Rattus norvegicus: one gene and its partner. The protein of the gene in region 2 purifies or fractionates together with the protein of the main gene of each other region. This does not show direct contact. Links are inferred from orthologs where the notes say so. Each region holds a gene or a part of one and is shown on either strand. Other genes may lie near its edges.

Region 1 (4,290 bases), on a different chromosome or scaffold from region 2:
AATCAGCTGTAAAGCAGGTTGTCTCCTACCTTTATGTGAGTTTGTTAGAAGTTAGGGGTTGCAGAGAGAGGAAAGAGGGGTGGGGGAGAAAGAAGGGGGAAGGTGGAGACCACCCCTCCTATTGTAGTATCCTCCCAGGCAAACATGACTTTTGATTAATAGGGTGTGCTTCCAAGAAGAAGCACGCAGACATGGGAACCACATTTTTATTCTAACTCAGGTGGTGACATTGTCTTTTAGTTTTAAAAGAATCCCAGTGGGGTTGGGGATTTAGCTCAGTGGTAGAGCACTTGCCTAGCAAGCGCAAGGCGCAAGGCGCAAGGCCCTGGGTTCGGTCCCCAGCTCCGAAAAAAAGAAAAAAGAAAAAAGGGAAAAAAAAAAAAAACCCAGCAAAGGAATTTAAAGGGGAAAAGGTCAGTCACATTAATCTGAGAGTAGCATGGCCTTTTTACAAAGTTAACAAAATTTTTACTGGGTGTGGGTATTTAAAATTTTGTATTAAAAGTCTTACAAGGCGGAGGAAGATAAACAATATTTGGATTCCTTGTCAAAACACAAGTTTTACAGTATTTAGTAGAAAAGACTCATTTCATAATTTTCACAATTGAACCAGGTCCTCAGGTTTGGCAGCAAGCACCTTTATTTACCAGCTGAGCCACCTCATTGGCTCTATTTTTTGAGGTGGAAGTCATGTAGCTTTGGTTGGTGCCGGAAGATGGCCTTGAACTCATCCTTTCTCTGCCTCATGAGTGCGGAAATTACAATGTCCAGTTATATCTCAATTTTTTTTTTTCCGGAGCTGGGGACCGAACCCAGGGCCTTGCGCTTGCTAGGCAAGCGCTCTACCACTGAGCTAAATCCCCAACCCCGTATATCTCAATTTTTAAAGCACAAGTGTACATAACTCTAATATTCATTGGCTTACAAAACTAGACTTTGATGGAATCGGTTCCTTGGCTAGCAACGGGTGCCCTTTTCCCCCTTCGCGCCCCGTCTCCCGCCTACGACGACCCCCCTGGCACAATCCTTGGGGACAGTGAACTTGTCCGAGAGCAGCTTCCCAATAAATTTGCCTTTAAAATATTCTAACCTGGCTTGTTGGCTCATTTCACCGGCGGCGTAAAAATAACCTATCAGTGAGACTTCCGGAAAATGACAATAAAGAGTAACAGAGAACGTTTATGGGGTCAGCGTGCTGCAACTCTCCCAATCAGAACGCCCTTTAAATTCAGCCGGCAGCAACTGCAAAGACATCAGCCACCGGAACACACGGGGGCGCAGAGGCGGAGCACCCGCAACAGCAGGTCTAAGGCCCCGCCCCATTGCTCAGCCACGCCCATTTTCCTGAGTCTCATTCCTAGCCTTCCGCTCTCCTCCACTCAGCTAGATTTTGACTGTCTCCGGGCAGGCAATGAAGGTGTAACGTGGAAGCAGTTGTGCGCAGGCGCAGACGATAGAGTGCGCAGGCGCAGTCCAAAGAGCAGTGCTCAGGGCGACGTGGCGGGCGGGAGTACGGAAGCCGCTGGGAGAAATTGATCTCACCGCTACCCTGAGCATCTTTCTATTGCGTGGAGCTACCGCTGGCACCATGTTGAAGAAATTCGACAAGAAGGACGAGGAGTCTGGTGAGGGACCCTTGAAAGTGTTGGGAAGGCCAGATCCACGCGGGGATTCACGCGACCTTTCTAGGCTTCCTTCTTCCGGGCCTCTGTCAGAACAAGATTCGAGGCCAGAGAGGGGCAGGGGCTTGTGCGCAGGTCCATAGCAATTCTTGGAGAAGACGTGCTGTTTGCACTCTCCAGTTCTGGTCAGAATTGATGCGTGACCTTGTGCGGGTCACGCACCTCTCTGGACCTCAGTTTCCCCATCTTGTCAGAGGAGGTTCCAAGGATGGGTGCTCCCTTGTATTCCACCCGACCTCTTGGTATTTGCCAAAGCTGCGTTGGTTCTTTGCCTATCTGGGTGCAACCAGTCCAGCAGTTAATAACCCTGACTGTTTCTTTCACTCATTCAATAAACTACATCAGGAACCTCACTGATCCTGATATTGCAGTACCTAAGGCAAGTGCGACACTAGATGCCTGCAATAGGAATGTTAGGATGGTCACATAATGGAGGAGCCAGACAGTAACCAGATAATCACATGCATAATTACTTAATGTAATATCTGCTGTCATCTCAGTCACAGGTCAGTTAGTGTTGGTTGTCCCTGGCACATAGACTCACTTAAGTTCTGGTTGTACGAGTCAATGCTAAATGTTATACCTTGAGAGTCACAGAAAGAATGCTAGGTGACTGTGAGAGGACCTTGACTGCCTCTGGAAGATGATATAGACTTCCTTCCCGTCCCCGTGTTTGGCAGAATCTTGAAATTTAGGGTCCCAGTTTGGGGCTGTAACAGTTGGTAGAGTGCTTGCCTAGCATGCATGAAGCCTTGTGTTTGATCCACAGCACTGCGTAAACCAGGAAGTAGAGGTAGGAAGATCGTCCTCTGCTAAAATTTGAGTTCAAGGCTAGCATGGAATACGTGAGACGCTGTCTCAAAAAAAAAAAAAAAAAAAAAAAAAAAGAAAAGAAAAAGAAGGAAAGAAATCTATCCAAGATCACAACCTGTAATCAGTCTTCTCTGTTCACTGTAGGTGGAGGTTCCAACCCCCTCCAGCACCTGGAGAAGAGTGCAGTACTCCAAGAGGCAAGTTCCATCATACCTGTGTCTGGTCAGGGATGCCTGCCAGCCCTGCTGTCAGACACTAACATACATAGAGTGCTGGTTTACAGAGCCTGGGCCCAGGAAGGTGGGACCTACTAATTATATTGCTAAGTGTGACTAGTACGAGGGCAGCACAAGCAGAGACTTGGGGTATTACCTAGTCATAACGTAGATCAGTTAAGAGAAATAGGCTCTCCCCACTTGAGAATACATTTGTGTGGACTGACACACCCCGTGGTTCTCTAGGCCCTTCATGAACTGAGGGGCAGCTGTGGAATGGAAGTGTACTAGGCTAGAGGTAATGGTTGCTTCTTCACAGGCTCGGGTCTTTAACGAAACTCCTATCAACCCCCGGAAATGTGCCCACATCCTCACCAAGATCCTTTACCTCATAAACCAGGTAACAAGATGGGGCTTGGCAGGGAGTACAAGGGGGACTGTGTAAGTGGGGATGTACCCTTAAGCTTTCGATTGACAGCTCTGTGATTGGAACCAACAGTCTAGCCCTGGGTCCTCTTAAGTTTCCAGCTCTCATTTGTTGCTTGTGCTCCAAAGGTCTAGCCTGCTGACCTCCTGTCCAAACCTGCGTCTTTTCTGATTACCACAGGGGGAGCACCTGGGGACCACAGAAGCAACTGAGGCTTTCTTTGCCATGACCAAGCTCTTTCAGTCCAATGATGTAAGTACGTCAATCTGCATGTCTGCAGATGTGACGCCTGTGACAGGGTAGCTGGCAGGAGGACAACTGCCTTCCACACAGTCAGGCTCCTCTTGAGTCAGGTCCTCTCCCACTGAGCAGGACTGATAGGGTCTTCTCCATGTCTTTTCCAGCCCACACTCCGCCGAATGTGCTACTTGACCATCAAGGAGATGTCCTGCATCGCTGAGGATGTCATCATTGTGACGAGCAGGCATGTCTTGGGCAGGGGTGGCTCCTCTGGTGGGACCCATTGACAGAGACAACTCGTACAGCCAAGGGACTCCTGACATCTGGCCTGTGCCCTGTCCTCCTAGGCCCACCCCCTGCCAGCCTCTAGAGTGGTCTGCTTCTTTCTCACTTCTCTGGCCTTGCTTCTCTTCCTCCTCCTTAGACGGCACAACCAGTGTGGAGCTTTCAGAGAGTCTTTAGTCAGTGCTAAGGAAAAGAAAAACAGATGCAAGAAATCCTTCAGAACTGGGAGTCAAAACTGGACATGGTGCTATACACTTGTACTTACAGCGTTTGGTAAAAACAGGAGGATAGCTGCCAGTTTGAACCTGCTTGGGCTACATAAGAAGATGTCACCAAGAAATAAAATAAAACAACACCCCCCCCCCCACACACACACACCTAGTTCTTTTATTTCTTATTGACATTGCTAGCCAAGGAGAGGGTCCATACAGCCAGTTTCAGGTACATTGATACTTACTGGGGCTGGAGAGATGGCTCAGTGGTTAGAGCACCAGTTGCTTTCCTAGAACCCACATCAGGAGGCTTAAGAGCATCTGTTACTCCAGCTACAAAGGACTCTGATGTGTCAGAGGGCACCATACTCAGGTATACATACTCACATGCAGACAGATACTTACATTGCTAAAAA
Region 2 (4,100 bases):
TATATATGTTTGTGTCTAAATATGTTTGTGTCTAAATGCACACATGTATGAGAATCAGCTTTCTTTTTTTTTTTTTTTTTTTTTTTGGTTCTTTTTTTCGGAGCTGGGGACCGAACCCAGGGCCTTGCGCTTCCTAGGTAAGCGCTCTACCACTGAGCTAAATCCCCAGCCCCTAGAGAATCAGCTTTCTTATTCCACCATGTGGTCATGGGGAATCAAGCCTTGGTGACAGGCACCCTTACCCACTGAGCCATCAGCCCACTGGCTTAGAACATGTACGTTTAAAGTTTTGGTAATTTGGGGTTGGGGATTTAGCTCAGTGGTAGAGCACTTGCCTAGCAAGCGCAAGGCCCTGGGTTTGGTCCCCAGCTCCGAAAAAAAGAAAAGAAAAAAAAAAGTTTTGGTAATTTTTTTCAAGTTTTTTTCAGAGCTAAAGTTTCTCTGTGTAGTCTTAGCTGTTCAGTGCAGGCTGGCCTCAGACTCAGAGATCTGCCTGCCTTATCGCACCAGGAACATTAGGGTCTTTTACAACATGGCCTCACTTTGTAGTCTAGACTGGTCTCCCAACTTGCAGGGACCCTCTTGCCTTAGTGTCCCATGTGCTGGGATTACAGGTGTGAGTCACCGCAGCCAACTCTGGTAGCTATTGCTTAGCTGTAAAAGCATTAGAGGAATATACTCTAATAGCAAGTTAATGAAAACACTTATTTTGTATGATGTTTTCTTTATTTTTATTTTTATTTTTTTTTTCGGAGCTGGGGACCGAACCCAGGGCCTTGGTTTCCTTTATTTTTATGATATACGTGAACCCCTCCTGAGACAGGCCTCATTATGTAGTCTCAATTTGTAGCAATTCTCCTGCCTCAGCTTCTCACGAGCTAGGATTTACAGATATGAACCACTACATCCAACGTAGCACTTTTATATTTTTAATTGTGGGTACCTGTGCAGAGGTTATGTGCACAGAAATGTAGGTGCCTGAGGCAGAAGAGGGCACTGGAGCCTGTGGAGCTGGAGTTACCGGCAGCAGCGAGCCACATGCCTTGAGTGATGGGAACCAAACTCTGTAGGGACAGTATGCCCTCTCGGCTCTGATCCAGCACTCTTAATGAACTCTCAAGTACTGATTTCCCCCACCCCTTTCTAGTACCCAAGAAGAAAGCTGAAAAGAGCTCATCGAAAATGAAGACTCATTTCAACTACTTAAATACCAGAAGCTGGTTTTTGTTTGTTCTTTTAATTATGTATATGTACATGGAAGTTCAGGTGCCCACAGAGTCCAGAAGAGGGGTCAGGTCACCAGGAACTGGAATTACAGGTGGATGTGAGCTGTTGAACTAGGAACCAAATTCAGGTCCTCTTCAAGAACAGTAAATTTTGTTAACCGAGCCTTCTCTCCAGCCCATAGCACCTTTTTTGGGGGGGTGGAGTGGGGATAGGGTCTCAGTGTGTAGGCTTGTCACTAGATATGTAGACCAGGTGGCCTCCAACTCACAGAGATCCACCCTCATCTGGCTCCTGAGTGCTGGGATTAAAGCCATCATGACTGGCACCAGAGATGATGATTCTTTTCTCTTCTTTCTTTCTTGCCATTTTGAGACAGGGTCTCTCTGTGTAACCCTGGTGGTACTGAGAATTCTTAATGGCACCCTTTACAATCAAATTTCCCATGAGACTTAGAAACTTCTCAGAATATAGTCTCACATTAAATAGCCTCCAGTTTTTGAGGTACTAAGTCTGGCCAAGGCATATCATAATCACATTAATATACTTTCTCATTTTAATTCTCTATAAGAAAATGTTAATTATCCTTATTTTTAAAGATAAGCATATAGAGATTTAGAAGTAGTTAAGTAAGCCACATAAGGTGGCTTGTTTAGATGTTTCAGAATTCCTAAGCAAGTTCGATTGACTCCAATGAACACATTCTAAACCACTTTACTATAATGCATATTACAAAATATTCCAGATATATTTTTATCAGATTTCTGTAGACTTAATTCCCTGCTTTTCTAACATCAACATTTTGAAAGAGTGTGATCTCAGGCCTTTGTCTTTCAGATTATCAAAAAAATTGTTTATCTAGTATTCAAATCTAATACAAAGCATCTTGTATTTCATCGGACAATCCTACCAGTAGCAGGGCTTTACGTTCCCTAATTCCAAATAGGCAAAAAAGAAAAAAAAAAAAAAAGTCCAACGGAAGCGCTGGACATTAAAATGGTGCAGACAGGCTACTGGAGTAGCCAGTGACTGACTCCGGAAAAAGCTACAGTGACAGAAGGTGAGAATCAATCCCCAAAAGTACTCCATACAACATGGTCATCAAAAAGCGTACAAGTCACAAGACCTTAAGAAAAGAAAGAGCTGGAACACACCCCCATAAGAAATGGACGGAAAGAATAGGAAGTGGGCCTAAGAGCTCTCCTACAAAACACAAACGAACCATGACACGAGTAAATCCAAGTCCCAGGACCCACTAAGCAGTGCAGACTGCAGAGACTCCACTAACCCTAACCCGCCTCCCCTCGGTTATTCCTCTGGGCTCTTCCAGTAGGCCCAATTCGGTCAACGGGTCCTCCCATTCTCTCTTCCTTGGTGACAGCACCTCCCCTACCATCCAACCTCCGTAGTTCCCCTCTTCTTCTTCACTACCTTTCACCCGCGCGCTTTTGGTCTCGAATTTGGTTAGCATCCTTCAGGCCTTCGGCTCCCAGGTCAGATTAGCGGATCCCGCCGCTCCCGGTTGCACTCCCAAAGGCTCCACGTCAGCTACCCCAGGTCGCGGCTCCCGGAAGCTCCTCAGACACGAACTTCCGGTTTGGGGAGCGCTGGGCCACAGAGACGATGCCAGCGGAAGCCTAGAGAGACCGCTAAGAGACTGGAAGGGACCCGAGGCTTCCGCCCAGCGGAGAGGCAAGATGGCTACGGCTAGGGGCGGCTCTGGGCCTGACCCAGGAAGTCGGGGTCTCCTTCTTCTGTCTTTTTCCGTGGTACTAGCAGGTGAGGTCACCCCACCCGGACCTCTGATCTTTAAGAGGAACCGTGCGGAACAGCTCGTCGCAAGTGCAAGCGTTGCCCTTCTGGTTCCGATTTCCCCTCTGTCCCCAGCCCTGTAAATCCTTCTTGTCTTTCGTTCCCATGACATAAGTTCCTCCTTTACCTGAACCTTCATTTCTTCTCTCCGGAGGCATGTCGTTTCGCTTAGTTCTCCCCAGCCCTTTTCTGGGTTTCCAACCTGCTTCTCTTCAACCTTATTCGCATGCCTTGTATGCCTTGTTTTATTTAAAGCCCAGCCACCCCAACAGCAATTAAAAGGGACAGGTGTGAAAAGCTCATCCTCTTTCCTTTGGTTTAGTGTTTTTTTAGATCAAAACAGTCTTGTTTTGTGGTCTCCGTGCAACGTTGCAAAATAAGAGCTCTCATTTCCTCCTGTTGGTTCTAGCTTAAAGTTGTGTTCCTTATTCTCTTTACTTATTAAAGTGAGGCTAACGTTAGCTTCGCTGCTCTAAACTGTTAAGAGGAAAGTAATGATTCAAGGAATTTAAGACGTTTAATGTATATGAATATTTTCGTTTTTTCTAATCTAATGTCTATTTAAGTGATCTTGCAATTGTGAATTACAATCAGTAACACACCTGTAATTATTTATAATGCGTTCAACTAAGAGTTAAGAAAAGCTATACTTTTTTGGAAATGTATGGCTTACCAGTTAAGCCCTGAAATGCAACCATTTCCTTGTATAACCATGACTCTATATTTCTCTACACTCATATTGCTTTTGACTAGCTTCAAGGGAGAAACTGTAGCTGCCCCATACTCTAGGTGTGCTCCCAAATGGTCTGATGTTTCATTAACTGAACAGGTGTGTGGCATAAGGTTTCTTCCCCCCAGGTCTGTTCAGATTCTGAGGTGGTTTTTATTGTTGTTAATGCTTTTCTTTGTTTGGTTTTGGTAATCAATATTCTTAAACCAGAGCTCTTTTCATAACTAATTAGTAATGTATCTATACAAATTAGAAAAGCAGATTTGTTTACCCTTGCAACTAGACGCTGGCACATCTGAAGTCAAAGACTTTGGACAATCATCTTTTAGCTTAT

The links. Proteins that work in one complex are often made in the same cells at the same time.
Region 1: the proteins of Copa (region 2) and Copg1 purify together in Homo sapiens (affinity purification with mass spectrometry; 6 studies listed by BioGRID and IntAct, counting the BioPlex papers as one, with this or other methods). This does not show direct contact. The link is inferred for Rattus norvegicus from reciprocal best matches to the Homo sapiens genes COPA and COPG1.

Annotation. Positions count from the first base shown.
Region 1 is NC_086022.1:121,922,480-121,926,769, forward strand, and holds the start of Copg1 (coatomer subunit gamma-1), read left to right. Parts: upstream 1-1,482; 5' UTR 1,483-1,588; coding exon 1,589-1,625; intron 1,626-2,639; coding exon 2,640-2,692; intron 2,693-3,029; coding exon 3,030-3,110; intron 3,111-3,317; coding exon 3,318-3,389; intron 3,390-3,541; coding exon 3,542-3,621; intron 3,622-4,290. UniProt on the Homo sapiens protein: The coatomer is a cytosolic protein complex that binds to dilysine motifs and reversibly associates with Golgi non-clathrin-coated vesicles, which further mediate biosynthetic protein transport from the ER, via the Golgi up to the trans Golgi network.
Region 2 is NC_086031.1:87,077,569-87,081,668, reverse strand, and holds the start of Copa (coatomer subunit alpha), read right to left. Parts: upstream 2,802-4,100; 5' UTR 2,696-2,801; coding exon 2,656-2,695; intron 1-2,655. Other genes in the region: Ncstn (nicastrin precursor), read left to right, coding at 2,922-3,003. UniProt on the Homo sapiens protein: The coatomer is a cytosolic protein complex that binds to dilysine motifs and reversibly associates with Golgi non-clathrin-coated vesicles, which further mediate biosynthetic protein transport from the ER, via the Golgi up to the trans Golgi network.